7 linked regions of the Macaca fascicularis genome follow. Each later gene encodes a partner of the first gene's protein in a complex. Links are inferred from orthologs where the notes say so. Each region holds a gene or a part of one and is shown in the gene's direction. Other genes may lie near its edges. The genes, in order: SNRPD2, GEMIN5, PRPF3, PRPF4, ARMC7, SNIP1 and CWC15.

The links.
Region 2: SNRPD2 (region 1) and GEMIN5 share a complex: the UniProt entries of both Homo sapiens proteins name them as parts of the SMN-Sm complex. The link is inferred for Macaca fascicularis from reciprocal best matches to the Homo sapiens genes SNRPD2 and GEMIN5.
Region 3: SNRPD2 (region 1) and PRPF3 share a complex: the UniProt entries of both Homo sapiens proteins name them as parts of the U4/U6-U5 tri-snRNP complex. The link is inferred for Macaca fascicularis from reciprocal best matches to the Homo sapiens genes SNRPD2 and PRPF3.
Region 4: SNRPD2 (region 1) and PRPF4 share a complex: the UniProt entries of both Homo sapiens proteins name them as parts of the U4/U6-U5 tri-snRNP complex. The link is inferred for Macaca fascicularis from reciprocal best matches to the Homo sapiens genes SNRPD2 and PRPF4.
Region 5: SNRPD2 (region 1) and ARMC7 share a complex: the UniProt entries of both Homo sapiens proteins name them as parts of the minor spliceosome. The link is inferred for Macaca fascicularis from reciprocal best matches to the Homo sapiens genes SNRPD2 and ARMC7.
Region 6: SNRPD2 (region 1) and SNIP1 share a complex: the UniProt entries of both Homo sapiens proteins name them as parts of the minor spliceosome. The link is inferred for Macaca fascicularis from reciprocal best matches to the Homo sapiens genes SNRPD2 and SNIP1.
Region 7: SNRPD2 (region 1) and CWC15 share a complex: the UniProt entries of both Homo sapiens proteins name them as parts of the minor spliceosome. The link is inferred for Macaca fascicularis from reciprocal best matches to the Homo sapiens genes SNRPD2 and CWC15.

What each region holds. Positions count from the first base shown.
Region 1 is NC_088393.1:53,756,263-53,760,757, reverse strand, and holds the start of SNRPD2 (small nuclear ribonucleoprotein Sm D2), read left to right. Parts: upstream 1-1,592; 5' UTR 1,593-1,645; coding exon 1,646-1,647; exon of another isoform or gene 1,648-2,379; intron 2,380-4,495. Other genes in the region: QPCTL (glutaminyl-peptide cyclotransferase-like protein), read right to left, coding at 1-123, 625-831. UniProt on the Homo sapiens protein: Plays a role in pre-mRNA splicing as a core component of the spliceosomal U1, U2, U4 and U5 small nuclear ribonucleoproteins (snRNPs), the building blocks of the spliceosome.
Region 2 is NC_088380.1:161,717,008-161,720,743, reverse strand, and holds part of GEMIN5 (gem-associated protein 5), read left to right. Parts: intron 1-337; coding exon 338-457; intron 458-1,818; coding exon 1,819-1,951; intron 1,952-2,937; coding exon 2,938-3,103; intron 3,104-3,736. UniProt on the Homo sapiens protein: The SMN complex catalyzes the assembly of small nuclear ribonucleoproteins (snRNPs), the building blocks of the spliceosome, and thereby plays an important role in the splicing of cellular pre-mRNAs.
Region 3 is NC_088375.1:110,939,566-110,943,998, reverse strand, and holds the start of PRPF3 (U4/U6 small nuclear ribonucleoprotein Prp3), read left to right. Parts: upstream 1-1,579; 5' UTR 1,580-2,244; intron 2,245-4,433. UniProt on the Homo sapiens protein: Plays a role in pre-mRNA splicing as component of the U4/U6-U5 tri-snRNP complex that is involved in spliceosome assembly, and as component of the precatalytic spliceosome (spliceosome B complex).
Region 4 is NC_088389.1:44,822,625-44,826,822, reverse strand, and holds the start of PRPF4 (U4/U6 small nuclear ribonucleoprotein Prp4), read left to right. Parts: upstream 1-1,243; 5' UTR 1,244-1,329; coding exon 1,330-1,356; intron 1,357-2,123; coding exon 2,124-2,301; intron 2,302-4,198. UniProt on the Homo sapiens protein: Plays a role in pre-mRNA splicing as component of the U4/U6-U5 tri-snRNP complex that is involved in spliceosome assembly, and as component of the precatalytic spliceosome (spliceosome B complex).
Region 5 is NC_088390.1:81,488,749-81,493,084, forward strand, and holds the start of ARMC7 (armadillo repeat-containing protein 7), read left to right. Parts: upstream 1-1,349; 5' UTR 1,350-1,642; coding exon 1,643-1,733; intron 1,734-1,816; coding exon 1,817-1,960; intron 1,961-4,336. UniProt on the Homo sapiens protein: As a component of the minor spliceosome, involved in the splicing of U12-type introns in pre-mRNAs.
Region 6 is NC_088375.1:197,372,208-197,376,675, forward strand, and holds the start of SNIP1 (smad nuclear-interacting protein 1), read left to right. Parts: upstream 1-1,564; 5' UTR 1,565-1,628; coding exon 1,629-1,852; intron 1,853-3,109; coding exon 3,110-3,212; intron 3,213-4,468. UniProt on the Homo sapiens protein: Required for pre-mRNA splicing as component of the spliceosome. As a component of the minor spliceosome, involved in the splicing of U12-type introns in pre-mRNAs. Down-regulates NF-kappa-B signaling by competing with RELA for CREBBP/EP300 binding.
Region 7 is NC_088388.1:93,956,617-93,960,995, reverse strand, and holds the start of CWC15 (spliceosome-associated protein CWC15 homolog), read left to right. Parts: upstream 1-1,395; 5' UTR 1,396-1,696; intron 1,697-2,801; 5' UTR 2,802-2,809; coding exon 2,810-2,940; intron 2,941-3,826; coding exon 3,827-3,939; intron 3,940-4,248; coding exon 4,249-4,337; intron 4,338-4,379. UniProt on the Homo sapiens protein: Involved in pre-mRNA splicing as component of the spliceosome. Component of the PRP19-CDC5L complex that forms an integral part of the spliceosome and is required for activating pre-mRNA splicing.

The sequences.
Region 1 (4,495 bases):
CGGGCTGCCTGGGGTTCGCACAACCAGCAGGGGGCGCAGATAAGTGCCCCAGAGACGCTGTGGGTCCAGTTGTCCCACCACCCTCCGCAGCCGGGCTTCGGGAAGGCTTCCGATCAACGGGACCTTGGGAAGGAGGTGGGATAGGGAAGGGAAGAATGAGAGCAACCCACCATTTCATCCCTACCCCGGGCGCCGTCACCCACAAGCAGCCCCGGGTCCTCTTTCTAATTTGCGGCCTCCAGCATCGGAGACTTCTAGGATAAATCCAAGGCTCAGAAAAAGTCCTTCCAAGACCATCCGGTCCAGCCTACCTCAAACTTGATGGGGAAATCGAGGCCCAGTGAGAGAGAGGGGAGATGGAGGAAGGGACTCTTCCAAATAGTTGACTAAAGGCGTAGAACCCTGAACCCCCTCGTCTTACTATTTCAGACCTTTCCTCATAAAAGGAAGCTACTGTTGTAAAACCAGCCCGAAGCCTTATTCCTTTGGTAAGGGTCATGCGCTCAGATGACGAAGACTGTGGCATCTGCGGTTAGGGCCGTACGCTAAAGCCAAGTCAACCCTGGGTAACAGCGGGGAGGGAATGAGGGTCCCCGCGGTGCCCGGGTCCCCGCCCAGCCTCACCCGCAGCTCCCGGCCCAGCGGCAGCTCCTCAGTCCTGCGGTGCCAGCCGCTCCAAATGGTGTAGAACGCCGAGCCCACGGCCAGCGCCAGCAACAGGGGCAAGAGCCGAACCCGCGGTAGCAGGCGGCGCTTCGGGGGCAAGAGTGGCTCCATAACGCCACGTTCCCCTAGCCGCAGGCGGGGCCGCCCGCGGCCCCCGGAACGCATGGCAGCTATGCCCTGAAACCTGTACCAGACCACGATTGAGTTTAGGCCCAGCCAAGTTCCACCCCATGGAATCAGTGGGCCAATAAGCAACAGCAGCGGCTGCACCTGCCCACCCCACAGCGAGCAGCGAAACCAATAAGAGCTACGGTCCTGAGGACACGCCTCCCGGCCTCCCTTGGGTATTGGGGTTGGTTCTTCTGAGAATGGCACGACCCAAAAGGGAGCGCAAAAGAGATAGGCTCCGCCTTAGCGGAGGGGGAAAGCCAATGAGCAGCGTTTGATCGTGGAAAATATTCAATCTCTCGGGCGCAGGTCCATGCCCCTCCCGGATGTAGGCAGGGGATTGGTGGCGCAGGGTCGGAAAGATCAGTAGATACGTCAATAACCCGTCCCAGAGGGAAGAGGGGCGGTGCCTGTCTCCGAAGCGAGGAGCGGATTGGCTTCAGCGGAGGCCGCGCCCCCGAAGTCACGGCCGGCGGGCATTTGGAAATAGTTTGTCATTTCCCTCCTTAAACCTGTACCATTCTTAAACGAAACGGTTTGAATCAGACCGCCTTTCCTTTTGTCTTCATTGTCATAAACATCTGCCCCGTGTGGTTCTGACTGGCCTCGAACCCCTATCCGAGGCTTTTATTCTTTCATTGTGCACCGTTGGTGGGCAATGCTATGGCAACAGGCCACGCCTCCACTTACTGGTTGGCTTTGCGCAGGCGCCAACGGAAGTGGGTCGCAGGAAGAGGAAGTCCCGCCTCTCTCGCCTCAGGCTGCAGCAACGCGGAGGAAACGGGAGTGAACGGAGAGCTTAGTGACCATCATGTGAGGCCGGGCTAGGCTTAGGCGGCGGGAAGGAGGTTGAGGGTGGAAATTTTGACCGATTGAGGGTGGGAAGGGTTGAGCAGAGAGCGGGGTGGGGGACAGGGGCAGATGTTTTAGGGATGGAGCGTCCTGCGTTTCTCCTGATGAGTTTGAGAACGGGCGTGGGGCCTTTGACGCATCGTGACTTCGGGAGAGGGGACAGCTTTATCAGATAACGCGCTGGGCTGGGCGCGGGGACTCATGCCTGTGATCCCAGCATTTTAGTAGGCCAAGGCGGGAGCATCGCTAGAACACAGGAGTTTCGAGACTACTCTAGGCAACATAGCGAGACCCCCGTCTCTACAAAAAAAATTTTTTTTAATTATGAAAAACATATTTTAAACGATAACGGAGGGGGGTCCTAGATAATTAGTCCTATTGAAGTGAATGTTAAGGGGCAGCGATTTTACGAATACTGGGGGAGGCCGGGCGCGGTGGCTCAGGTTTGTAAATCCCAGCACTTTGGGAGGCCGAGGCGGGCAGATCACCTGAGGTCAGGAGTTTGAGACCAGCCTGGCCATTGTGGTGAAACCCCGTGTCTACCAAAAATACAAAAATTAGCCAGACGTAGTGTCGGGCCCCTGTAATTCCAGCTACTTGGAAGGCTGAGGCCGGAGAATCGCTTGAACCCGGTAGACGGAGGTTGCAGTGAGCCGAGATTGCACCACTGCACACTTCCAGCCTGAGCGAAGAGTAAGACTCCATCTCAAAACGAAACAAAAGAAATCAAAACGAATACTGGGGAAGGGAAGTTAGGACTTTTAGAAATAATGATTTGAAATAAGGGACTTCTCCTGATCATTTGAGCTGGAGACAGATGCGTTTTCGACCTAATTCACAACTTAAAGGGATAACGAGTGATTGGCATGATTTTGCTCATTTATTAGTGCACCAAATATTACATTGAATGTTTATGTATCAGACACTGCTTAAGCCACATAGGATACATCAGTGAATGAAACCTTTTGTTCCCAAGGAAAAAAAAAATCTTTTTTTTTTTTTTTTTTTCCCGAGACATAGCCTTGCTCTGTTGCTCAGGCTGGAGTGCAATGGTGCGATCTCAGCTCACTGCAACCTCTGCCTCCCGAGTTGAAGCAATTCTCCTGCCTCAGCCTCCCGAGTTGCTAGGATTACAGGCACCAACCACCATGCCCAGCTGACTTTTATATTTTTAGTAGAGACCAGATTTCGCCATGTTGGCCAACCTGGTCTCAAACTCCTGACCTCGAATGATCCACCTGCCTCGACCTTCCAAAGTGCTGGCATTACAGGCGTGAGCCACCGTGCCTGGCCGGGCGTGAGCCACCATGCCTGGCCGGGGTTTTACTTTCTACACTGAGATGGCGGGGGGGCATGGGAGGATTTTCTTTTGTTTGTTTGAGATGGAATCTCGCTCTGTCACCCAGATTGGAGTGTAGTAGCACGATCTCTGTCTCCTGGGTTCAAGTGATCTTCTTGCCTCAGCCTCCCAAGTAGCTAGGATTACAAGCATGCGCCACCATGCCCAGCTACTTTTTTTTTTGGGGTGGGGGATGGAGTCTTACTCTGTAACCCAAGCTGGAGTGCAGTGGTGTAATCTTGGCTCACTGCAACCTTCGCTGCTGGGGCTCCAGCGATTCTCCTGCGTCATCCTCCTAAGTAGCTGGGACTAGAGGCATGCGCCATCACACCTCGTTAATTTTTTTGTATTTTTAGTAGAGACAGGGTTTCACCATGTTGCCCTGGGTGGTCTGGAACTCCTGAGCTCAGGCGATCCACCCCCCTTGGCCTCCCAAAGTGCTGGGATTACAGGCGTGAGCCATCACACGCAGCCTAATTTTTGTATTTTCTAATTTGTATTTATTTATTTTTTGAGACAGAGTCTCGCTCTGTCGCCCAGGCTGGAGTGCAGTGGCATGATCTCGCTTCACTGCACTCTCCGACTCCTGAGCTCAAGCGATTCTTCTGCCAGAACCTACCAAGTAGCTGAGATTACAGGCGTGCACCACCACGCCTGGCTAATTTTTTGTTGTTGTTTTTGTTTTGTTTGTATTTTTAGTAGAGATGGGTTTTCACCGTGTTGGCCAGGCTGGTCTCGAACTCCTGATGTCAAGTGATCCACCCGCCTTGTGAATCATCACCAGCTGGATGCCTAACAGACATTTTCTTTTCTTTTCTTTTCTTTTTTTTTTTTTTTTTTTTTGAGACGGAGTCTTGCTCTGTTGCCAGGGTGGAGTGCAGTGGCGCGATCTCAGCTCACCGCAACCTCTGCACCACAAAAGTGCTAGGATTACAGGCATGAGCTACCGTACCCAGCCCCTGGGAGGGCTTTGAAGAGTGACATGTTATGATTTAGGTTTTAGCACAGCCCCCTCAGACCACTCTGTGGAGAACAGACTGTCAGGGAACATGGGTGGAGGCAGAGAGACCGGAAAGATTCCAGGTCAGAGATGACAGAGGCTGAGGCCATGGTAAGAAATGGCCACTTCCTACAGATTTATTGTAGGATGCAAGGGAAAAAGAGGAATCAAGTTGACAAAGAGTTTTTGCCCAGAGAACTAGAAGGCAGATGGGGAACACTGTGGATAGGGTAGGCTTCGGTGGTTGGGTGATCTGGACCCCGACCTGAGACATGCAGAGTTGAAAATGTCTGGCTGAGCGCGGTGGCTCACACCTGTAATCTCAGCACTTCGGGAGGTCGAGGCGGGTGGATCACGAGGTCAGGAAATCAAGACCATCCTGGCCAACGTGGTGAAACCCACTGTCTACTAAAAATACAAAAATTAGCTGGGCGTGGAGGTGGCGCGCACCTGTAGTCCCAGCTACTCAG
Region 2 (3,736 bases), on another chromosome or scaffold:
CAGCCTCCCAAGTAGCTGGAATTACAGGCATGCGCCACCATGCCCAGCTAATCTTGTATTTTTAGTAGAGACAGGTTTCTCCATGTTGGTCAGACTGGTCTTGAACTTCCGACCTTAGGTGATCCACCTGCCTCAGCCTCCCAAAGTGCTGGGATTACAGGCGTGAGCCACTGTGCCCGGCTGAATTATATCATTTTAATTATACATAAAACTTCAAATTTTACAGTTCAGACCTATGAAAGAGATAGCTAAGTTCTGGGAACTCTTGCAAACTAATTGTTTTATATTAGTGTGTGTTTAATGCAAATTAAAAGCAAAATTGCTACCTATCTCATAGAAGAAGCTGAAATTACCAATGGGAATGCTGTGGCACAAGCTCCAGTAACAAAAGGCTGCTACTTAGCCACTGGAAGCAAAGATCAAACCATTCGAATCTGGAACTGTTCTAGAGGCCGAGGTAAGATTGATCTTTCTTTTGTGATGTAACCTGTGTTGATCTGGTGGAAGTAGAGGGTTTTTTGTTCTGTCTTATTGTCCTGTGGGTGTGTCATCTATCTGAGAGCAGTTCTTCACTTTTCGGTCTAGAATTCTGCTTCCTCATTTGAGCCTGGGCTAGAACTGTCTATTCTCTCAACATCTGGCCTTAGAATGAGTATTTCCCATGCATTCCAGAAGAAAACAAGGACCTCTTGGTTTATAGAAAGGGTCACTATTTGGCATGGAGAGCAGAATATTTGTAATAAAAATGGGAATATTAGAACATGATATGGCCTAGGCCAGGAGAATGGAAAAGATCTCAAGAGTTAGAGCTTTTAATGCACAAATGCAGAATAACATACACCCAGCCTGGAATTATGTGTAAAAGCTCATTTTATCCAAATTATAGAGCCCCTCAATCATTTAGCGTTCCCAAATTTCTCTTTGAACAGAACTTTTCTCGTTAAGTTTAAAAATTAAGAGAAACTCTAGGCATAATTAATATTTATAATATATTAGGGAATATAACCTTTATAGTAAAAATCTTGCTTTTCTCTTTCTAGCGGGCTTCTCCATTTTATTTTTTTTTTCTCGCAGTTTTTTAAGCTGTGGTGGAAAATACAATATTTGCCATTTTTATCACTTTTAAGTGTACATTTAAGTGGTATTAAGTATACCCTAAAGTTGTGCAACTGTCACAACCACCTGTCTCCAGAATTCTACTCTCCATTCTCCCCTCCCCCGGGCCCTGGCAACCATCATTCTGCTTTCTGCTCTATGATTTTGACTACTCTTGAGTATTTTCTTTGAGTGAAATTAGACATATGATATGTCTTTTTGTGATTGGCTTATTTCACTTAGCATATATCCCTGAGGTTTGTTGATGTTGTACCGTACGTCAGCATATCCTTCCTTTCTAAGGCTGAATAATATTCCATTGTATGTATGTCCCACATTTTGCATACCCACTCATCCACTCGATCTCCTGACTTCATGATCTGCTCGCCTCAGCCTCCCAAAGTGCTGGGATTACAGGCATGAGCCACCGCGCCTGGCCAAAAAAAGAAAATATACTCTTAATGTGTTGAGGTTGTCAAGATAGCTTATGGAAGCTTATTTGACCTAAATGTAGCTGGACTAGTATTAACCACTGTTTATAGTGGTTAAAAATATAACCATTATAATGGTTATAATTGTAACCATTGGAAAACGAGATCTGAATTCTAAGTAACCAAACTAACAAGCTTTTACAGCTCAGACTGTGTATTGTGAACTGCCAGCAATGTCATGCATGTAATTTCACTGTCTTGAGTGCCCATTGGCCTTCCTTTTAATCTGCAGGGGTGATGATTTTGAAATTGCCCTTTCTGAAGAGAAGAGGAGGGGGTATAGACCCAACTGTTAAAGAGCGCCTTTGGTTGACACTCCATTGGCCCAGCAATCAGCCAACACAGCTGGTATCTAGCTGTTTTGGGTAAGTCTTTTATGGTCATGCTTTCTTAGATATGTTTTGTTTTTCTATTTGGCCTCAAGGACTCCTAGGTTTCTCTTTGTAGATGGAGAAAATAATGGCCAAGGCTTGTATTATGATGGGCCCCATTTGAAATGGAAAAATTGTGAGACTGATGCTTGTGCTGTCTACTAACAGAGCTGTAAAAAGATCAAATAAGTATAGTCTGGCAGTTAGGAATATGGACTCTGAAGTCAGAAGTAAATTTCAGAATCACTTTGTCACTTACTGCCTTGTATTCATGAGCAAGACCCTTTACTTTTCTGAGCTTCAGTCACTTCATGTGTAGAAAGGGGAGATGGTTATAATATTTTCTCTTAGGTTGGATGGCTATGCCCATTCAGTAAACAGAGTTCATTGACTACCTACTTCTAGTGACTGGAGATAAATCTGTTTAAAGGGTAGTCCAGTATACTCACATGGTTCAAGAAGAATGAAATTATATAATAAACTGTCCTGTCTTCCCTGGCTACTTGGTTCCCCTTTCTGTGGCTCAAATTTTTTTTTTTTTTTAAACAGGGTCTTGCTCTGTTACCCAGGCTTGAATGCAGTGATGCAAACACAGCTCACTGCAGCCTCAACCTCCTGGGCTCAAGCAATTCTCCCACCTCAGCCTCCCAAGTAACTGGGACCATAGGTGTGCACCACCATGCCCAACTAATTTTTTAATTGTTTGTAGAGGCAGTCTCACTTTGTTGCCTAGGCTGTTCTTGAGATCTGGGCTCCAAGCTATCCTCCTGCCTCAGCTTCACAGAGTGCTGAGATTACAGATGTGAGCTACTGCACCCAGCCTTCCCAGAGATATTTTGTGCGTATTTTCAGAATATGCAATTTTTCTCTCCTTAAAAGACAAATCATTTTGCAGCTATGAGCCTAGACTCTGTGACTCAACAGTCACTTGTTTTCAGATTGTTTGTAAAAGAACTAATGCTTATGTTTTTCCTTCACAGAGGTGAACTGTTGCAATGGGATCTCACTCAATCTTGGAGACGGAAATACACCCTCTTCAGTGCCTCATCAGAAGGGCAAAATCATTCAAGAATTGTGTTTAATTTATGTCCTTTACAAACAGAGGATGACAAACAGCTATTACTTTCCACATCAATGGATAGAGATGTAAGAGCTGCTTATTTTCACTCAGCATTGTAGAGCAGCAGTTTACAACTTGGGTGGGATTAGAGGGCTTTTTCAAAGCACCTGTCAAGTCATAATACCCCACCCCTGACTCCAATTTCAGAGTTACTGCTACAGATCAGCACTGAATATATCAATAGCTCACATGTAGGGAGAATGTGAAGACCCATCAAAATGGTTTTTTGTTAAAGCAGACATGATAAAGAAGTTTTGCCCAGGGAAGGATATATTAGGTCAAGCTTGTCCAACCCATGGCTCAGGATGGTTTTAAGCTCATCAGCTGTTGTTAGTGGGGTTTTTTTCTTTTCTTTTTTTTTTTTTTTTTTGAGACGGAGTCTCGCTCTGTCTCCCAGGCTGGAGTGCAGTGGCGCGATCTCAGCTCACTGCAAGCTCCACCTCCTGGGTTCACGCCATTCTCCTGCCTAAGCCTCCCAAGTAGCTGGGACTACAGGCGTGCCCACCTGCGCCCGGCTAACTTTTTTGTGTGTGTGTTTTTAGTAGAGACAGGGTTTCACTGTGTTCGCCAGGATGGCCTCGATCTCCTGACCTCATGATCCCCCTGCCTCAGCCTCCCAGAGTGCTGGGATTACAGGCATGAACCACATGCCCAGCCTA
Region 3 (4,433 bases), on another chromosome or scaffold:
GTGCCCACTGCCACTCCCAGCTAATTTTTGCATTTTTTTAGGAGAGATAGATTTTCACCATATTGGGCAGACTGGTCTCACCTCAAGTGATCCACCTGCCTCGACCTCCCAAAGTGTTGGGATTACAGGCGTAAGCCACCACACCTGGCCTAAAATCAGTTTCTAGAAACACATTTCTCCATAGGGAATTGAACTCAGACTGTTAGAAGCACTAAAACAAAATAAATTTACAACAACCCTGCAACGTTGAAACTCATTAACCCATTCAACAAACTTTTTTGAGTGAATATTTTGTGAGACATTGGTGTTAGAAGCTGTAAGTGGAGAAACTGATTTGTGAATAAGTTGAGCAGCAAGTTGAAGCTCCCCCAACTGGTTCCTTCAGAGCCAGGCTTTATCCTTTTAGGTCATGCTGCCCCATCAGGGATGGTGGGGCTTGGTATGTACATTGTATCTTTAGATACAAAAATCTCCTACTATCTGGGGAATTTGAATAACCTCCCTGAAGAGCAACTGCATCTTCTAGTGAGCCTACCACCAAGAAGACATTTTGGAATTTTAGTTTGGATAGTTTATAATATAAAAATAATGGAATTTTTTCCATTTCTCACATAAAGAAATTGTGTCATAATACTGGACATCCTTTTTCCAAACTATCTTTGCCCACACACGTTGTTATGATTTAAAGGGTCAGTAGGGGCCAGGCGTGCTGGTTCAAGCCTGAAATCCCAGCACTTTGGGAGGCCGAGGTGGGCGGATCACGAGGTCAAAAAATCGAGACCATCCTGGCCAACATGGTGAAACCTCGTCTCTACTAAAAATACAAAAGCTAGCTGGGCGTGGTGGTGCGCGCCTGTAGTCCCACCTACTTGGGAGGCGGAAGTTTCAGTGAGCCGGGATAGCGCCAGTGCACTCCAGCCTGACGACAGAGTGAGGCTCCGTCTCAAAAAATAAAAAAATAAAAATAAAAAAAGGAAGGGTCAGTAGGTTAGAGCCTCATTTTGGAGAAAAGGAAATATATAGACCTATTGATAGAATGGAGAAAGCAATACTGGTAGGTCTCACTTGTCATTTATTGAGCCCAAAGTGCTGGGATTACAGGCGTGAGCCACGGCGCCCGGCCTGACACCACTGTTAAATTAGGGAGAAAGGTTAAGGATGGGTGGCTAATTCTAGTGATCACGACTGTGAAAGGGTTTACTTTCCACCAGAAAGACTGTGTTTGAACACAAACGCAGAAGCCTCGCTCTTCATTCTATCCGAAGTTTACCTTTGCGCACTTATTCTCCATATGAAGAAAACTGCAAGTAGCCCAATTTCCGCTTCAGGAAGTTAAAAACATTAACTTGGCAGAAATCTAGTTAATAGGTTTAGCCCGGGAAATAGAAAGCAAGAAACTTGCTCAGGGAAACTTTTCGGTTCTACGACGCATGCGTTCAGCCTCCAAGAAAGTGGCAAATACGGCTGCGCGAATTGCCGGCCCAGCCCTCCTTGGTCACGTGTTGGGAGACAGCGGCGTGGCGGCGGCCGTGGCGGTAGCGACGGCAGGCCGTAGGGCGGTCAGAAGGTTTCCGGTTCCGGTGTAACGTTCGGGCTCCGTCTCAGGGGCTGAAGTTTGTGAGGTGAGTAGTGGCCCCGGGCCCAGAGAGGGTAACTCCAGTCCGCGCGACTGTGGCCGGGGGCTTAGTCCAAGGGGAGGATCGAAGCGGGAGGGTTCAGCGGGAAGGAGTGTGAAAGGAGTACCTGGTTTGGTGGAAGAAGAGATTGGAATGAGATTGTTGAGAGGAAAAGGGCGGGGGCGGGAAGCAGACCGGGTGGGGAGACCAGCTCTGAGGTGAGGAGTTTGGGTAGAACAAGGTAGAGTAAGAGACTGGTTGGAGTGACGGAGAGTAAAAACAGAAGATTTGGGGCTGCAGAGGGAAACTCAGGTTCTAGCAAACAAGAGCACGGAGTAAGGAATTCCTTCAGAAGACTGGATTTGGATTCTGCTGCCTGCTCATTGAGAGATCATTGTACCTCGCTCTCCTTCCGCACCCCCATTCCCCCTGCACCTCACAGTTATTGTTGAGCATTTGATTAGTGACAAAGCTAATTACCGTTTGAAACTTTTCTGTCCATGGCTGTTTAGTTTGCACATCATCTTATGGAAGTAACAGTGGCACCTCATTTATTGCTTTGGGCTTTCAAATTGCTTATACTTTGTAGCCTATCATTCAATTCTAGTGGAATATGAGACCCGTTAAGGTGAGGACTCTTGTTAGTTTTGCTCACTGTTTTGTGTATCCACTGCACTTAGTACTTTGCTTGACACTTGGTAGTTAATAAATATTTATTGAATGAATTAAGATGTAAATATGGCAGTCCTCATTTTGTAAGATGAGTAAACTGTGGCTCCAAATAATTAGTTAACTTGCCTAAGGGCCTGTAAATGGTGGAACTCAGTGTCCTAACTGTTCTGTGTGAACTCTTGTTTTCACTTTCTAAGTCGTCTGGATATGCTGCTTTTGTGCAATACGTGTGTAATATGTAGAAATTGGTAGGCTGTATGTCTACTCATTATGGGGTAATAGAGTCACCATAGAATTACTCACGTAACTTGTCACTGAGGCAGAAAATCTTTCAGTCTTAGTTTCATCACTTCAGTCTGCTAGCTTCCTTTGGATATACCAAAAGTGAGTCTACTATTTGGCAGCAAGTCTTTTTTTTTTTTTTTTTTTTGGAGACGGAGTTTGGCTCTGTCGCCCAGGCTGGAGTACAGTGGCGTGATCTTGGCTCACTGCAAGCTCCACCTCCCAGGTTCACTCCATTCTCCTGCCTCAGCCTCCCGAGTAGCTGGAACTACAGGCGCCTACCACCACGCCTGGCTAATTTTTTGTATTTTTAGTAGAGACATGGTTTCACCGTGTTAGCCAGGATGGTCTCGATCTCCTGACCTTGTGATCCGCCCACCTCGGCCTCCCGAAGTGCTGGGATTACAGGCGTGAGCCACCATGCCTGGCCAGCAGCAAGTCTTGTAGACTCTAGTATAGAAGCTAAACCTACCAAGAATGTAGAAGTTAATCAGACTGGATTTTTTTGGAGAAAAGATGTCTTAAAACATCTTGAAAAACTGATTCCCAGATCTCTGATAAGTGGCACTGCTGGGAATAGCTGAGCTTAGAAATTGAGGTCAGTGCAATTTATTGACTCTCATTTAGGCACTTTTTTTTCCCCCGAGGCGGAGTCTTGCTCTGTCGCCCAGGCTGGAGTGCAGTGGCGCGATCTTGGCTCACTGCAACCTCCGCCTTCCAGGTTCAAGGGATTCTCCTGTCTCAGCCTCCGGAGTAACTGGGATTACAGGTGCAGGTCACCACGCCCAGCTAATACTTGTGTTTTTAATAGAGATGGGGTTTCACCATGTTGGCCAGGCTGGTCTCGAACTCCTGACGTCAGGTAATCCACCCGCCTCAGCCTCCCAAAGTGCTGGGATTACAGGCGTGAGCCACTGCACCTGGCTTTCTTTTTTTTTTTTTTGGCGATACAGTTTAACTCTGTCGCCCAGGCTGGAATGCAGTGGCGTGATTTTGGCTCACCGCAACCTCCGCCTCCTAGGTTCAAGCGATTTTTCTGCCTCTGCCTCATGAGTAGCTGGGATTACAGGTGCCCACCACCTCGCCCGTCTAATTTTTGTATTTTTAGTAGAGACGGGTGCAGTGGGTCATGCCTGTAATCCCAGCACTTTGGGAGGCCAAGGTGCGCAGATCACTTTAGGTAAGGAGTTACCTGGCTGATACGGTGAAACCGTGTCTTTACTAAAACTGCAAAATTGGCCAGGCGTGGTGGTGCATGCCTGTAGTCCCAGCTACTTGGGAGGCTGAGGCAGGAGAATTGCTTGAACTCAGGAGATGGAGGTTGCAGTGAACCAAGGTTACGCCACTGCACTCCAGCCTTGGCGACAGAGTGAGACTCTGTCTCAAAAGAAAAATGAGCGTATTCTTTTCTGAGCTGAAGGATCATCAAGTCAGCTGATGGAGACCCTGTAGATTGAACATGATAATTATCTGTATGCAGAATTCCCACTGGGATGAATATGACCACAGAAAAATGTGAGAGAACATTCTTAAGGATCATGAAATTTAATTTAATATCCAGGATGACTGACCTGGATAAACCTGTTTTACTTGCATATCTTAAAAGAAGGGAATCCTACATAAGTCAGGGTTGGATTAGGGAATGCCTGCCTGGAAGTAGGAAGAATGGAGAAGCTGGCCTCTGGATGGGCTTTTTTAGTTTTGTTCTAGTGTTGCTAGGTTTGCAAGTCCTTGTTGATATGACAGGATCAAGAAAGAAGCTAGAATTAATCTCTCAGACGTAGCTTATTCACAGAGTTTATTTATTCCACAGATTTCATTGATCAACTTAAGAGTTAAAAATCAAATGGGATCTCTTTCTGC
Region 4 (4,198 bases), on another chromosome or scaffold:
CATTACATTTCAAATTGCTTTGTACTAAATCAGGCATTATCTTCTACCAGATTCCAATGCAGACAAATGGTAGAGAAAGCCAAAGTTCCAAAGAGGGAAAGAGAGGGATAGGGATACCTAAAAGGAAAAAAAAGGTCTACTATACATTTTACCTTTTCTGCAAACTGCGAAAAACTGGCCACTACGGAGCAGTATAGAGTAGCAGTTAAAAGTGCTGGCTGTAGAGGTTAAAGGGCACAGGTTCTAATCCCACTGCGCCACTGATCTTGAACAATTAGTTTCATTTCTAACTAGGCCTTAGTTTCCTCATCTGTATCCTACTTTGCTGTTGTAGGAAGTGAATAACGTAATGCAGAGTAAGCTCTTGGAACATTACTTGGCATTTAATAAATGTTCAATAAATAACACCTATTATGGCTGTAATTTTTCTAGGGGGTTGGATGAGGATCTGGCCAGCTACGGAAACGTCAATATTTTGAGGATCTCCCACCGTCCACGTGGGGATAAAAACCTTATGCTGTTCGTCTCTAATACCCCAGCATCCAGCAGGGCAGAGAGACGTACAGTTCCCTGACACCCTCCTAACCATCATCTTACTCTCAATCTGATACAAAGACCAGGCTGAAGACAAATGAACAAAATCAGGCCGAAGCTCCTCCGCCGGGTCTTTATTTGACTTTGGCACCAGCGGGCTCTTCTAGCTTAATCTCTCGCTGCAGCCCAAATCCACCGCCGAGCCATCAAGCTCATAGGTGGCCCCTGGGAAGACTTCCGGACCATGGAAGAGAACAGTCCTCGTCCCCTAGCTCCAGGCCTGTACCTCGGATCCCAGGGTTTCTATGGTAACACGGTCCTCGGCTCCCAGAAGACGTAAACGCCCCCGTAGGCCCGGGGAGGCACAGCGGGCCCCGGAAGCCCTCGACTCGCTCCAGAGTTCAGCCCCGAGCCGCGCGAGTCGACTTACCTACCTCTTTTCAAGTCGGCTCAGCCCCTTCCCGGAACCTCGGCTCCCCTCCACGAAACTACTGCTACGCCAACTGGACTACACTTCCCAGACGGCTTGGAGCCTCTCTCTCAGCAGAACCTCGTCTTCCGCGAGCTTTTCTTGGAGGTTCTAGGAGGGATGCCCCTCAATGCCACGACGCCATTTCCTACTACGACTTCCATCATGCTCCGCGCCGCTCCGGGCGCAGCGACGGCTCTTGGCCCATGTCCTGTTTGCGACACACTTCCGGTCAGTGACGCACTTCCGCTCTGCTGGGCGCGCGGTGGAAGGTCTGAAACGGAGAGCTTGGATTTCGCTGGGGCCTCGCGGCTCCAGAGCCCAGCATGGCTTCCTCGCGAACCTCCTCCACGGTACAGAGCCCGGGATCGCAACTCACTCTGGCAGGGAGCGCGAAGGGGGAAGAGGATCTCTGCGGGAAGGGGCCGTTAGGGAGCGAGAGAAGGCGGTGGAGGGCTGAGGAGGAAGGCTGCGGGACTCAGTGGTGTTCTACACAGCGGACCACCGTTTTCCTGACCCCTAAGCGCTTTCGTGGACTGTAGCTTATTTGCACCTCTCCCACTACAGCCCCAAAGGGCAAACATCTCTTCCGACTCATCCAGTAACGGTGCTCTGAAATAGGGAAGTGTCTTGGCCAAGGTTTATGCGTTTGGCAGATCTCAAAATTTTAATGAGACCTACTAACTTCTACCTCACGTCTAGAAACGTTTGAAATGTATACACTCGTAATGTTGTAACTTGTTATCCTTTAGCACCGCGTTGGTTATTTCATCTATCCTTAGTATTTCCCCAGTGATGAGCAGTAATCTTGGATACATCGTAAAACACGAGATTCCACGTTTCCAGCAGAATAAAGTAAACAGATTCCAGAGCAAACCTTTCATATGAAAATACTCGAGAGAACCTCACTAGTTTTATCAATCCCGTCAGCTAAAGTGAGGGACTGAAACACCCTCCCCTTCACCTCAAATCGATGAAGAACATCTTAAGTAGTGTCCAATTTGTCCTTTCAATTATGAAGGAAATAGGACTGTGAAACTCAGGGCGAGCTTCATCCTCGGGAAATCCGGTAAATTGCCAAGATTAAACCTCAATTTAATCCAGATTTTTGATTTGGCAGGCAACCAAAACTAAAACACCCGATGACTTAGTTGCTCCGGTTGTGAAGAAACCACACATCTATTATGGAAGTTTGGAAGAGAAGGAGAGGGAGCGTCTGGCCAAAGGAGAGTCTGGGATTTTGGGGAAAGAAGGACTTAAAGCAGGGATCGAAGCTGGAAATATTAATATAACCTCTGGTAAGATGCAAATTGTGAACCCATCTTTACCTCTTTGTGTAATGAATACTTTCCTAAACTTGAATATCATCAGTTTTATAATGTCAAAAAATTTAAGTTCTTTTGTTTTAGACGGAGTCTCGCTCTGTCACCAGGCTGGAGTGCAGTGGCGCGATGTCTGCTCACTGCAACCCCCGCCTCCCGGGTTCAGGCAGTTCTCCTTCAGCCTCCGGAGTAGCCGGGATAACAGGCGCACACCAACAAGCCCAACTAATTTTTGTATTTTTAGTAGAGACGGGGTTTCATCATGTTGGTCAAACTCCTGACCTTGTGATCCCTCCCCCTCGTCCTCCCAAAGTGCTGGGATTACAAGCGTGAGCCACTGCGCCTGGCAGAATTTCAATTCTTAAACTTGCATCTATAAGGCTGTATTTTGCCTACCCCCTTAAAATCATGCAGAGAGCCTTTTTCTTACAATGTGTTACATAGTTTTGCTTCTATGAGTGAGCAGTCTTATCAAAAATTCAGTGTACATTTGGATTCAGATTGATTCCATTTGTCTTCTGGAGATCTAACATAGTTCTGGCATTGGTTTGCAGCTAGAGTGGTTCGTGATAATCTCCCTTTTGAAGTTTTCCAATTATTTTTTACCCAAAGGGAAATATCTTTTTTTTTTTTTTTTTTTTTTTTTTTGACACAGGGTCTCACTCTCTTGCCCAGGCTGGAATGCAGTGGCATAACCGTGGCTCACTGCAACCTCTGCCTTTTGTGTTCAAGTGATTCTCCTGCCTCAGCTTCACGATTAGCTGAGATTACAGGTGCCGGCTACCACACCCAGCTAATTGTTGTATTTTTAGTAGAGACGGGGTTTCACCATGTTGCGCAGGCTGGTCTCCAACTCCTGACCTCAAATGATCTGCCCACTTCGGCCTCCCAAAGTGCTGGGATTACGGGCGTGAGCCACTGCACCTGGCTGAGATATCTTGTTTTATTATAAAAGTAATAGTGGCCAAGCCTGGTGGCTGAAACCTGTAATCCCAGCACTTTGGGAGGCTGCGAAGTGGGAGTCCGGCTTGAGCCCAGGAATTCGAGACCAGCCTGGGCAAATAGTGATACCCCATCTCTACAAAAAGTAGAAAATTAGCCGGGCATGGTGACGCGTGCCTGTATTCCCAGCTAATTGGGGTTCTGAGGTGGGAGTTCAAGGCTGCAGTGAGTCATGATTGTACCACTGCACTCCAGCCTGGACAACAGAGAGAGACCCTGTCTCAAAAAAAAAAGGTAATAGTTATTTTTCTTTTAAAAGATCAAACAGTGTATGAATGTGTGAAGTAGAAAATCCAGTATTTTTTAATTAATTGATTGTATATCTTAGAATTTTAATACAGCTATAAAAATACGTCATTTTTTCCATAAGTGAAAACATGATACGTAAATTGTTGTATAACCCCCATTTTTCATTTTATATACCATTGAGGATATCTTTCCATGTCAGTAATGAGAGGTCCACTCTATTTTTAAAATAAAATTACGCATATTTGTCATAAGAAATTCAGACAATACCAGAGGGCATAAAATGAAGACTCCTCTGGCTGGGTGTGATGGCTCACGCCTGTAATCCCAGCACTTTGGGAGACTGAGGTGGGTGGATCACGACGTCAGGAGATGGAAACCATCCTGGCTAACATGGTGAAACCCCGTCTCTACTAAAAATACAAAAAAATTAGCCAGTTGTGGTGGCGGGCTCCTGTAGTCCCAGCTATTCGGGAGGCTGAGACAGGAGAATGGTGTGAACCCGGGAGGCGGAGCTTGCAGTGAGCTGAGATGGCGCCACTGCACTCCAGCCTGGGCGACAGAGCGAGACTCCGTCTCAAAAAACTGAAGACTCTTCTGCAGTAGGGACATCTGTCAGGTTTCT
Region 5 (4,336 bases), on another chromosome or scaffold:
TATTCAGGGAGGTAAAGAAAGAAAGGCTTTAAGGGAAAAAATAGGATTACATAATTGTTTTGAGATAATTATCCTTAGGTAGAAGAATTAGTAACAAGGGTGACCAGTTCAACGTTGGACAGGAAAGTTGCTGGGCAGATGGCCATTCAAAAGTATGTTTTGTGCAAGGTTGGGGTTTTTGCAGAATCTTTGTGATAGTTTTCATTATCAGATATTTATGCATGAGAACCCTCTTGTCATGGTTTTCTCCGACTCTGTCCGGGTTTTTTTGTTCTGTTTTTTTTTTAACACAAGTGACTCCAATTAGATTAACAACTTTTGCATTCTCAGGACACTCACAGCCTAAGCCACCTCTCTACCCCTACGTTGTCAAACGCGATGGGAGTGTAGTAAGGCCACCTCCTTCCCTGGTGCTTTGTTCCCTGTAACCACGAGTAGTAATCCATCACACACCTGCTTCCCGAGAATCCTCGAGAAGGAATCGGCCGAAGGGCTTCAGCATCCAGAAAGCCCCGAAAGCGCCACAAACAAGGCTCTTCCTCGGGCTCCCCGGTGCTGCCCCGGGCGCGCGCCATCCACCCGGCTGACAAAAAGCACCAGGACATGACCCCGTCCCCTTTGATTTCTGTCCAGAGGTGGCGGACTCACCTCGGGGCTGGGATAGAGGACGGGTCGGGGTCGCTACGCTTTTTGCAAAAGGGTCAAAAGACTGATGGGGGTGGGTAAGGAGCTGACGCCCGCGCTCTAAAGGGGCGTCCTGGTCAAGGAGGCTGGGCCGCGCCCCGCCAGCCATGGGGATCCTGGAGGTGCTTCTGCCTCGACGTCCTCCCAACATGGGTGCTGCCAGACTCCGTTGCGCTCCTGAGTTGCTCCTCACGTCATTCCAGCCGCCCGACATGGGTGCCTCACTTTCGGCTTCTGGGCCACGTCGGGGCGGCGGAGGACCCGGGGGGCCGGGCGGGAGAGTGGGAAAGGTGGGGCGGGAAAGCCGAGAGAGGCCCTCACCCGCCTTCCTGTTGGCGGGGGCGGCAAGTGGGTTTCTTTCTTGCGTTCAGATTTTGCAATAATTTGCAGCTGGACATAGGATATGGGAGACAAGGCTGCTCCTCGCAGTACACCCACCCACGCCCATACCTCCCTCGGCGAAGCGTGTCGCAGCGGGTTCCAGCGCAGGCTAAAGAGCTTCCGCAGCCAGAAAACCGAAAGCGCGCCGCGCACGCGCGCCAAGGAGTTCGGCGACGGCCCCGCCCCTCGCCTGCCTCGTCCCGCCCCTTCCGCGCCTTGTAGGGTGGGGACAGCGCGGCTTCCGCCGGGAGCCTGGAACCGAGCCCGGCAGCCGGGGGCTGGGCGCCAGTACCCACTCCGCCAGCCCCAACCCGCAGACGGTTCCCTGTCTCCCGCGCCCCAATTTCGATTTTCAGACCCAACTCCTACAGGATTCTGAGACCCCGGCCCATCTCCCCACATTCCATTTCCAGCTGCAAATTACTGCAGAGTCTGAACCCAAGAAAGAAACCCATTTGCCGTCCCCGCGTCTTCCCTCGCCAGACAGGTGGAGAGTGGGTGAGGGTCTCGCTCGGCTTTCCCCCTGCACCTTTGCCACCCGCCCGCCCGTCCCTGGGGGTCCTCCGTCACGCCGGCCATGGCCCAGAAGCCGAAGTTGGACCCCCACGTCGGGCGTTTGGGATACCTGCAGGCGCTGGTCACGGAATTCCAGGAGACCCAGAGCCAAGGTGAGAGCCACGGTGGGACCAGGTGACAGGGTCGGCTGTGACCGCCGCCCGGACCTGGCTCCAGTGCCGCTTTCCCGTTGCAGACGCCAAGGAGCAAGTCCTCGCCAACCTCGCCAACTTCGCTTATGACCCCAGCAACTACGAGTATCTACGGCAGCTGCAGGTCCTGGATTTATTTCTCGATTCGCTGTCGGAGGAGAACGAGACCCTGGTTGAGTTTGCTATTGGTAAGGGCTGGGCCCGTTCGCTAGATGGCTAAATGGGCCGGGGTGAGATAAGTGAGTTACAAGTGAGTCCTTGGGGCCTGGCGTGGTGGCTCACACATGTAATCCCAGCACTTTGGGAAGCCGAGGCGGGGGGATCACCTGAGGTCAGGAGTTCGAGACCAGCCTGGCCAACATGGCAAAACCTCGTCTCTACTAAAAGTACAAAAATTAGCTGGGCATGGTGGCGAGTGCCTGTAATCCCAGCTAAGCGGGAGCAAAAATTAGCCGCACACAGTGGTGTGCACCTGTAGGCCCAGCTACTCTGGAGGCCGAAGCAGGAGGATTGCTTGAGTCCGGGAGGCAGAGGCCAAAGTGAGCTGAGACTGCGCCACTGCACTCCAGCCTGGGCGACGGAGTGAGACCATGTCTCAAAAAAAGATGTTTTAAAAAGAGCAGTTTTGTAGCCAGGCGCGGTGGCACACGCCTGTAATCCCAGCACTTTGGGAGCCCGAGGCAGGCGGATCACCTGAGATCAGGAGTTCGAGACCAGTCTGGCCAACATGATGAAACCCCGTCTCTAACTAAAAATACAAAAATTAGCCGGGCGTGGCGGGCGCCTGTAATCCCAGCTACTCGGGAGGCTGAGGCAGGAGAATCACTTGAACCCGGTAGGCAGAGGTTGCTGTGAGCCGAGGTGGCGCCACTGCACCCCAGCCTGGGCAACAGCGAGACTCCGTCTCAAAAAAAAAAACAACAACAATTTCAGGTGGGTGAGGTGGCTCACACCTGTAATGTCAGCACTTTGGGCGGCCGAAGCAGGCAGATCACTTGAGTCCTGGAGTTCAAGACCGGCCTGGCAAAAGCCCATCTCTGCTAAAAAAAAAAAAAAAAAAAATTAGTCTGGCGTGGTGTCCCAGCTACTCAGGAGGCTGAGGTGGGAGGATTGCTTGAGCCTGGGAGGACGAGGCTGCAGTGAGCTGGGATTGGGCCACTGTACTCCAGCCTGGGTGACAGAATGAGAATCTGTCTTAGAAACAAAAGTAACTCATATTTAGTGTTTTCATATCAGGAGAAGCAGAGATGGCTTGCAGTCTGTAACTTACGGCTTCTTTTGTAGTTATGATCTTAAGACCTATTGATTTATTCACTGGGCAGATATTTACTGGGCATGTACCGTATATGTAAACTACTGCTCTAAATGCTGGAGTATGGTGAACAGGTTAGGGAAAGTGTTTGTCCCTCAGGAGCTTACATTCTAGTAGGGGGGACAGGTGGTTAGCAAACAAAAAAGATGATGCTCAGCAGCAAATAAATGGGGTGATGAGAAACAGCAGTAGAAGGTGGTGGTTACTTCCGTTTTGGCCATCATGAGAAAGGCATTTTAGCAGGGACACAGCATGGGCAAAGGCCTTAAAACAGGAAGGAGCCAGAAGGAAGATGAATGTGGCAGGATCGTTATAGTGAAGTGGAGAATGGCACAAAAAGAGGATAGAGAGTTAAGCGGCACCAGAGCTTGCCGGAGCTTAGATCTAGGCCGTGGGAAATAGTTTGAAGCAGACAAAATTTTGAGAACAAACAAAAATCCCTGTTTCAAGCCATGCACAGTGCTCATCTGTAGCCCCAGATAGGAGGATCGCTTGAGCCCAGGAGTTTGAGGCTGTAGTGTGCTACGATTGCATGATTGCACCTGTAAATAGCCACCGCACTCCAGCCTGGGCAACACGCGTGTGATCACCTGGCTGAAGTCTTGTCAGGCTTCTCCACTGTAAAATTACTCTTTCTTTCCCCTCTTTACGTATTATGTATTATACCCATTGGAAGGAAGTCACTACATAAATTATCTTAAATCTTTTTCTTTTTTTTGAGATAGGGTCTCACTGTGTCACTTAGGCTGGAGTACAGTGGTGTGATCATAGTTCACCATAAATTTAAACTTCTGGGCTCTAGCAGTCTTCCTGCCTTAGCCTCCCGAGTAGCTGTGACTACAGGTGGACACCACCATGCCCGGCTTTTTTTTGTTTTTAATTTGTTTTCGAGAGGATCTCACTGTGTTGCCCAGACTGGTCTCGAACTCGGCTTTTTTTTTTTTTTTTTTTTTTTTTAATTTGTTGTCGACACACGGTCTCACCGTCTTGCCCAGACTGGTCTTGAACTCCTGGCCCCAAGAGATAAATCGCTTGTAACCCTAAACAGACCCTCATTTCATAACACTGATTCTTGAAGGCCCCAACCAGGAATGCAAATGTTCCCCCTTCCGGTTTGTCTCATTGCCTCTTTGTGGTTTGTTTCTTTATCCCCTTTATTTCCTATAATCTAGAAATTGGGTTGAAAGTCTTGATAGGATCAAGTAACACATTTTATTTTATTTTATTTTATTTTATTTTATTTTATTTTATT
Region 6 (4,468 bases), on another chromosome or scaffold:
AAACTTCCCCTTTGCCCCCTGAGGAGTCGCTCAAAAATCAGTTCACAAAAGGCAGATTAATTGGAGAAAAAGCATACAAATGTATTTAAAGTGTATACACGGGGAGAATCACAGCGTGATTACCCACCCTGAAAGGGGTTCAGAAGCTTATATATCCTCCTGGTAAAACAGACTTATGAGGGTGGGAGAAGGAGGAATTCTGTTCAGGGATTACTAGGCAGAATGAATTAATAAGGGAACAGAGATACATTTGTAAATAGTTTTTTGTTGTTTTTTTGTTTTGGTTTGGTTTTTTTGAAGACAGGGTCTCACTCTGTAGCCCTGGCTGGAGTGCAGTGGTGCCATCACGGCTCACTGCAGCCTCCAACTCCTGGGCTCAAGTGATCCTCCTATCTCTGCTGGGACCACAGGCACGAGCCACCAGCCCCTGCAAAATTTAATTTTTGTAGAGACAGAGTCTTGCTATGTTGGGCAGGTTGGTCTGGAACTCCTGGCTTCAAGCGTTTTTCCTGCCTTGGCCTCCCAAAGGGCCGGAATTACAGGCTGCAGCCTCCGTGTTCGGCTGTAAATAGCTACTTTTGACAGCATAACGGTCTCTGGTCAGGTGTGATTACATTCTTGGGAGGAGAAGAAAGAAACAATTATTCCTTTTGGTAGTCTGTATCTTAGGCAGATAAAGACCTGCGCTTTGGGAGAGATGGTGGGCACCGGGAAGGAACATTGAGGCTTCTTCAGTTCGGCATGTCAGTGCGCCATATTTTGGGGTTTCGATTTCTGAGCCCCAACAGCATTGCAAAAAGTTCAGGAAATAGAAGAGGAAAAGCTAATGATTTGCCCACGGGTTATCATCTCTGATTGCATTTCCATGTCTTCCTCCCTTCTATTTCCAAATGTAAATGTAATTATGGTTTGCGCACAATTTTGTATCCTGCTTTGTCGTTAACAAGTCAGGGTTTTTAAAGTTTGTAAATGGTTTACTAATGGCCACATAACACCCATTAATTTGGCTAACTTCCCTACTGCTGGGTATTTACATTGTTTCCACGTTTTGTAATTACCAGTAATGTGGCAACAAACAGTCTTGAGAGGTTTGCTTTTTCCCAGTTTTTTGTTGTTATTGTTGTTTGTTTGTTTTTGAGACATCTCGCTCTGTCGCCCAGGCTGGAGTGCAGTGGTGCGATCTGCGCTCACTGCAACCTGCGCCTCCCGGGTTCAAGCGATTATCTTGCCTCATTCTCCCGAGTAGCTGGGATTACAGGCGCGCGCCACCACACCTGGCTAATTTTTGTATTTTTAGTAGAGACGAGGTTTTGCCATGTTGGCCAGGCTGTTCTCGAACTCTTGACTTCAGGTGATCCGCCAGCCTCGGCCTCCCAAAGTTCTGGGACTACAGGCGAGAGTCACCACGCCCAGCCAGAAGTTTGTTTTTGAAACTTGAAACTCCCGCCACCCAAGCCGGTCACTGTGGCTACTCCCACTAGGGAGTAGTCACGTGTTTAATATCTGCCGCGAGGATTTCTGGGAGGTTGGGCACCCCGGAAGCGGAAGTCCAGGAGTCAAACTCGTCATTTCCTTCAGCTAGAGGAGCTCAACGGATCTGTTTTCTTTCGCTCAGCCAAAATCACAGAATGAAGGCGGTGAAGAGCGAACGGGAGCGAGGGAGCCGGCGAAGACACCGGGACGGGGACATGGTGCTGCCGGCGGGGGTGGTGGTGAAGCAGGAGCGTCTCAGCCCAGAAGTCGCACCTCCCGCCCACCGCCGTCCGGACCACTCCGGCGGTAGCCCGTCTCCGCCGACCAGCGAGCCGGGCCGCCCGGGCCACCGCGGGAACCGAGCCCGAGGAGTTAGCCGGTAAGTGGGGGAGCAGCCCAGGATGGACGTTGGGTTGGGCTCATTCAGAAAGGCGGGCAGGGCTAGCATCCGAAACAGGTTTTGAATGCTGGGCGCAGCAGCCCGGACTTAATCCTGAGGGACTGTTGAGAGTGATCCAGTCGTGCTTGTGTTATGCTTGCTCTGTCACTTGCCTTATAGCTCGGTGTTCAACGCCTAATGACACACCGGCAGGATCCCACTCCTTCATTCTTGTGTCCCCAGCACTTCGAAGAGTGTAGCCCAACAGATAGCACTGATAATCTGTTAAATTGGAATGAGATTTTCCCCATCCCGCCCACAAATGGAGTGTGGGCCTTGTCTTTCCAGTTACCTGCCAGAAAGGTTTTCACATCGAGGTCTAGGCGAGCTACCTAACAGAAACTGGAAAAATAAAAATAAAAAAAGTTACTTCTTGCTAGACTCATTTATTTATGCATTCATTCACCATAGTTTTACTGAGTGCCTATTTTAAGTGTGAAAGACTGCCCTAGGTATTGGGGCTGCAAGGGCGATTCAGTTAGATGATCTTCACCAGTGCCAAATTGGCCGTGCTCTAACCCTGAGACAGATGATTAAAAAAAAAAAAAAGTTTCAATAACAAGTATTATTGATAGGTTATAACAGTAATGTGATAGAGATTGGAGAGAAGAGGGAGGAGGCCTCTTTAAAGAGGTGCCATTTGAGTCCAGACCTGAGTGATAGGAATGATTCAACCTCTTAAAGATCCAGGCAGAGGAAACAACATCTGCAAAGAACTTGAAGTAGAATGAATTATGATTGAAATGGGAAAAAGCCAGTGTCGGTGGAGTATAGTGGTCAAGAAGGTGGGTGGTAGGAATGAGATGGCATAGGGAGGAAGTAGAACCACAGGATGGAGGGATTGTTCCTGATGCTAGGGGTGTTGGTAGTGAGGGATAAAGAATCAAGGGTGACTTCCGGATGGTGATGCCAGTTAGCAAGATGGCAAGGAGTAGGAGAGGAAAGGTTTTTGAAGGGTTGGAAATTAAGAGTTTTGTTACCTAAGTGAGAAGGTTCAGTAGACAGTTGTCTATGTGAGTATGGAATGCAAGGGAGACGTTAGAGCTAGGAAAATGAACCTCGTGACTCCTTTAATGTGATTGGCAGATACCTTCACAAAAGCAGTGTTTGTGTTAGTAGGTAAGCCTGATACTGGAAGCTAATTTTTATGGGGGAAGGGAAATTGCGATAAAATCCTGTGTACCATGCTCTGTATAGGTCCCCACCCAAAAAGAAAAACAAGTCCTCAGGGAGAAGAAGCAAGTCTCCTCGGAGTAAGAGAAACCGAAGTCCTCACTACTCAACAGTCAAAGTGAAGCAGGTAAGTGGATTGGGGTGTTTTGATGTTGGGTCCAAATTGAGAGCCTTTTCCTATCACAGCTAAAGAGGGCTGTGTGTGTGTGTATTGTGTGTGTGCGCGTGTGTGCACGCACACTCGCCTACATCTCTACCTGTACCTCCAATGGGCTTTTCTGAAAACTGGGTGTATTTCTTTTTTCTGCTTGTTTGCTTAAATTAAACTTTTTATTTTGAGATTATTATTGGTTCACATATGGTTGTCAGAAATAATTCAGGGAGATATACTCTTCCTGGTTTCTCCCAGTGGTAGCATCTATTCATAATAGAACTGTGGTACAATATCATCATCAGAATATTGACATCGATATAGTCAAGATAACATTTCCTTCACCACAAGGAATACCTCATGTTGTCCTTTTGTAGCCACACACACTTATCTCCCACTTTTATCCTTCCTTAACTTCTGTCAACTTCTAATCTGTTCTTCATTTCTATAATTCTGTCATTTCAAGAATGTTATGTAAGTGGAATCATACAGTATGTAACCTTTAGGATTGTCTTTTCTCACTCAGCAGAATCCTTTGGAGATTGATTCAGGTTGCAGCTCTCAGTAGTTTGTTCTATTTCATTGCTGAGTGGTATCCATATGGCATGGATTTAGCCACTTACTCATTAAAGAACATCTGGGTTGTTTCCATTTTTTGGCTATTACACATAAAGCTGCTATATACACATTTGTGTACAGGTTTTTATGTGAACATAAGAGTTCATTTCTCTGGAGTGCAATTGCTGGATTGTACGGTAGTTGCAGGTTTAATTCTTTTAAGAAATTGCCAGACTGTTTTCCAGAGTGGCTGTATTAGTTTCCTAGGGCCACCATAATGAAATACCATAGAGTAGGTGGCTTAAACAACAGAAATTCATTTTCCTGTAGTTCTGGGGCTAAAAGTCAAAAATTAGGGTGTTAGCAGGTTTGGATTCTCCTGAAAAAAATCCTCTTTCCTTGGCTTGCAGATGGCTACCTCTTTGCTGTATCCTTAAATGATCTTTTTTCTGTCCTGGTGTCTTTTCTCAGCCATATTGGATTAGGGCCCTGCCCTCATTTTTTAACTTAATCAGCTCTTTAAAGACCTTATCTCCAAAAACAGTTATTAATACATTCTGAGGTACTTGGGTTTGGTACTTTAACTTGCTAATTTTGGAGAGTACAGTTTAGTCCGTAACAGTGGCTGTACCATTTTATATTCCCACCAGCAATGTATGAATGATCCAGTTTCC
Region 7 (4,379 bases), on another chromosome or scaffold:
TGATTTTTATCCTAAGTGCAGTGAAATTTTACACAGGATAGTAACACCATTTGATTAATTTTAAAAGATCACTCTCTTGGCTATATGCAGCATTGACTGTAGGATAAAAGATGACGCAGGAAGATACAATAGGAAACAATTACAATCCAGGTAGGAGATGGTGTTGGCCAGGACAAGGGTAATGGCAGTAGAATAAAATTTCGGGTAAGTTTTAAAAGTAGAATTGGTAAGACCTGTAAATGAACCGTATGTGAAAAGTGAAAGAAAAGGAATTTAAGTAGGCACTCTGGGATTTTGGTTTGAGTAACTAGTATGATGATCGTGTCCTTTAGTGAGACGTGTAAGACTGGAGGAGGGATACCTTTAGTAAGAAAAATCAAGATTTTCATCTTGAACTCTATGAGTGAAAGGGCTTTTTCTGCTTTTCTTTCTTCATTTAAAAGTTGCAAAGAATTTAGAGGTAAGAAAGCATTTAAATATTCAACTTTGTGAGTTCTTTATATTTTAAACTAAGTTGGGGAAGTTGAATTTTCATTTGTTTAACAAATATTAATTGAGCAGCTACTATATGTCAAGGTCTATGTGATGAGATACTAAGATTAGCTAAACAATCAAGATCTCTGTTCTCAGGATTTTTTTTTATGGAAGGGAGGAGACAGGATTGGTGGGTTTTTGGTTTTTGGGTTTTCTCCTTTTCGTTCTTATTAAAACTTAACACTTAAGTAGCCATCTTAGTAATTACATCTTGTGCTCCTGGCAGTTGGGCCCACCGTTCTAAACGCTGTCGTAAATATTGACATCTCCCCTCCCACTAAAACTAACGTTTTTTAAATAAAAAATTTTAGCAAACATTACGAATACAACCTTTGCTTTGAAGTGTTAATATTTTTGCAGGAATGTACCTTTGTAAAGATCGTGGTTGCCCCGTACATATTTGTTCTTTCTTCATATCCAATTAAATGAAAACACTAGTTTTTCCGAAGCCCAACTCTCTAGGTTTGTTGGTTCTAGCTCAGGAGAAAGGATGGAAGCAGGAGTCGTTGGATTTAAACAGTTTGGTGTAATCCTTTTCCACGCTCTCTCCCGCTAGCCGGGGACGTGGTGTCGGCTACCCGGGGCTTTCCGTCCACGCAGTACCGGAATGAAGGAGTCTGGGAGGGGGTCGGGGACGGAAAAGACGGAAGAGACATTAAGTAATTGGTTCTTGAAGGTATAAAATGATGTTTAGGGTCTACTCTAAGGCACTGATTTCAAACGCCCGCCCCCTGGGCCGTTTCGGCCCCGCCCCCTAGTGCCGTTACGCCGACTTCCACTTCGGCCACTGCGGATTGGTCGTTGCTTCCGCCTCCGAAGCGCTTGGATTTTGCTTCCGGGTCGTAGGCGCTAGCCCTGGGCGCAGAGGTTTCTGGGAGCTCGGAGTCGTAATGGCGTCTGTATGATCTTCGGAGATTGCTGCATCGGACCTCGGCCAGTGTGAGCGGCAGGAGGATAGGTTATCTTCCTCATCCCGGTGGGACGGGAAAGGGCAGTTGGGGTCGGAGTCGGCGGCAGAGTGCAGAGTGCGGGCGGTGGAGGACCTAGAGCAGCGGGCTAGGGGCGAAACGGAGTGCCTGTCAGGCGCGTCCGGAGCTCTCGGGCCCGCAGAGGAGATCGCAGCATAAAAGGCAGCGCGCCTACCGCGTAAAGCGAACCCCAGGTCCTCCTTTCACTACCCCTCGCACCCCTGCGGCGCTGGGCACGGGTTAAGGGGCAACGAGTTTCTGGTTATAGCCAAAGACTAGCTCACGAGAGGCCGGAGTAATAATTCCGTTAGTGTGTGGGAAGGGGCGGACTCCCAGCTCCAGATAACCCCGTTTCTTCTTTGTATACATGTCTCTTACTCTTTTTGAAAATTAGGAGAAAGCACTCCCCCCCACAAAAAAAAATCCTCCCAGTTCGCCCACCCTCCCCACACACTTGCTTTTCCGACACTAACAGGGTTTTAATGACTGCATCTGCTAGGCAGTATTCTTGTGACTGCTCCAAGCAGAAAGTAACTTAAGGAATGGGTCCCTGATTTTTGTCATCAGAATCCTCTGGGGCTGAGGTTCCTGTTTTGTTTTTGTTTTTGTTTTTTTTGAACAGTCCTTAAGTTATAACCCACAAACGATCTGATTTATAATATGATGCCTGTTGTAGGAGAAAATTGGCTCAACAAAAGGTTAAGAATTTTTTTCTATGTACCTGTCATTGAAGTTTAACACACTTTCCTTAGTAACTTTTTTCTCAGACACTTAGTAACTTTGTCAGTGATATTTTTTGTTTGTTTTTAGCTTTTGTTTCTACTAGCCTATTTGCTATTGTGTGAAGTTTAGATAAAATGCAAACCTTAGAGAGTCTGGTAGAGTAAGGTTGAGTTGGAAATTTTTAAAACTTAGTCATGGTAGTACTGTATTTTTCAAGGCTTTTGACATGTCAAGTGTCATAATTCTTATAGTAATCCTATGAGGAATATCTCCATTCCACGGATGACAGAAAGTTAAGCCAGGTGACTTGCTCAAGCCCATATAGTCAGAAGGAGAATAGGGATGCAAACTCAGATCTTCATGACAGAATTTTTTGTACTAAGACAAGCCGGAGAAGCCCTATTCGTTGTACGGCCTAAGCCTCATAATTTGTTTTCCTGAAAACTTTTGTTTAAGAAGATTAAGCAGGTTTAGGGGAATGAGTTTTAGAATTTATTTCACTAGTATGGATATTAATACTCTGTAAAATGAGTGTTTGTATTGTTGTAAATAACTTGATTATATTTTTCTTCAAAGCATAAAAGATGACAACAGCAGCCAGGCCAACCTTTGAACCTGCAAGAGGTGGAAGGGGAAAAGGAGAAGGTGATTTGAGCCAACTTTCAAAGCAGTATTCAAGCAGAGACCTACCCTCTCACACAAAGATAAAATACAGGTAGTAAGACTTTCTTTTTTTTCTTTCTTTTTTTTTTTTGTTGAGACAGAGTCTCGCTTTGTCGCCCAGACTGGAGTGCAGTGGCCGGATCTCAGCCCACTGCAAGCTCCACCTCCCGGGTTCACGCCATTCTCCTGCCTCAGCCTCCCGAGTAGCTGGGACTACAGACGCCCGCCACCTCCCCCGGCTAGGTTTTTGTATTTTTTAGTAGAGACGGGGTTTCACCGTGTTAGCCAGGATGGTCTCGATCTCCTGACCTTGTGATCTGCCCATCTCGGCCTCCCAAAGTGCTGGGATTACAGGCTTGAGCCACCGCGCCCAGCCTCTTTTTTTTCTTGTTCACAAAACAAGACCAAATCTGTTAAATGGCATGGTCATGATATAGTAGTATGTTCGAGTTATGTCACTTATCTATTATCATAGGATTAGAATGCAATAGGATGTTTAACACTAAAATTCTGCCCTGTGGTTTTAAAATGCAAAATTCCTACTAACCAGAAATTTTCGTATGTAGATACAACAATAAATAACAGAAATAATAATGCCTCAGAGAGATTATGCACTATCAGCACCAGTCAATATATTAAAAGTATTACTGTTAAGTTCTGAGTTGATAATACCAATAAAAATTAAAGACATTTTAATCACGTAAAGCCTTATTATAGGAAAATACGTGATTGAATTTGGACTTCTTGAAATATTGGGAACATCACAAGAGTGGCTGTTAGTAACTTTCAGATTAGATTATGATCTTATCTACTTCCCTTTTTTATGCTTGAAGGACAAAGTCTCATTCCTGAATTGTCTTCCATTACCACAGTCGTGTGTGTGTGTATGTGTGTGTGTGTTTAAGTAACATTTTTGCCCTGGTTTGTTTCTACTTTAGACAAACTACTCAGGATGCCCCTGAAGAGGTTCGTAACCGTGACTTCAGGAGAGAGTTGGAAGAAAGAGAGAGAGCTGCTGCAAGAGAGAAAAACAGAGATCGTCCAACCCGAGGTACCAACACTATCCAAGACATTTATCTCTAAAATTATGTTGTTGATAGTTTTTCTTTTATGTAGCAACTGGAAAATATTAACCATTTGTTTGCTTTTACAGATTGATGTGAGCTGTAATACTTTCTTAAGTCATTAGAGATAACAATAACAAATATTTACCAAAGGCTTATTTGCCCAGGCACTGTGGATGTGATTTCACTGTGGATAATGCTTTCAGTGTGGGCTCCTCGTGCCCACAGGTCCCTAAAACATTTTAAGAGATGCAGTATTTGTTTTACTAAGTTAAGTGATTTTTGTTTCCCCTCAGAACATACAACCTCCTCTTCAGTGTCAAAAAAGCCACGGTTAGACCAGATTCCTGCTGCCAACCTTGATGCAGATGACCCTCTAACAGATGTATGTTTTGTTTTCTCCTTTCATCTCTAATAATTGATTTAC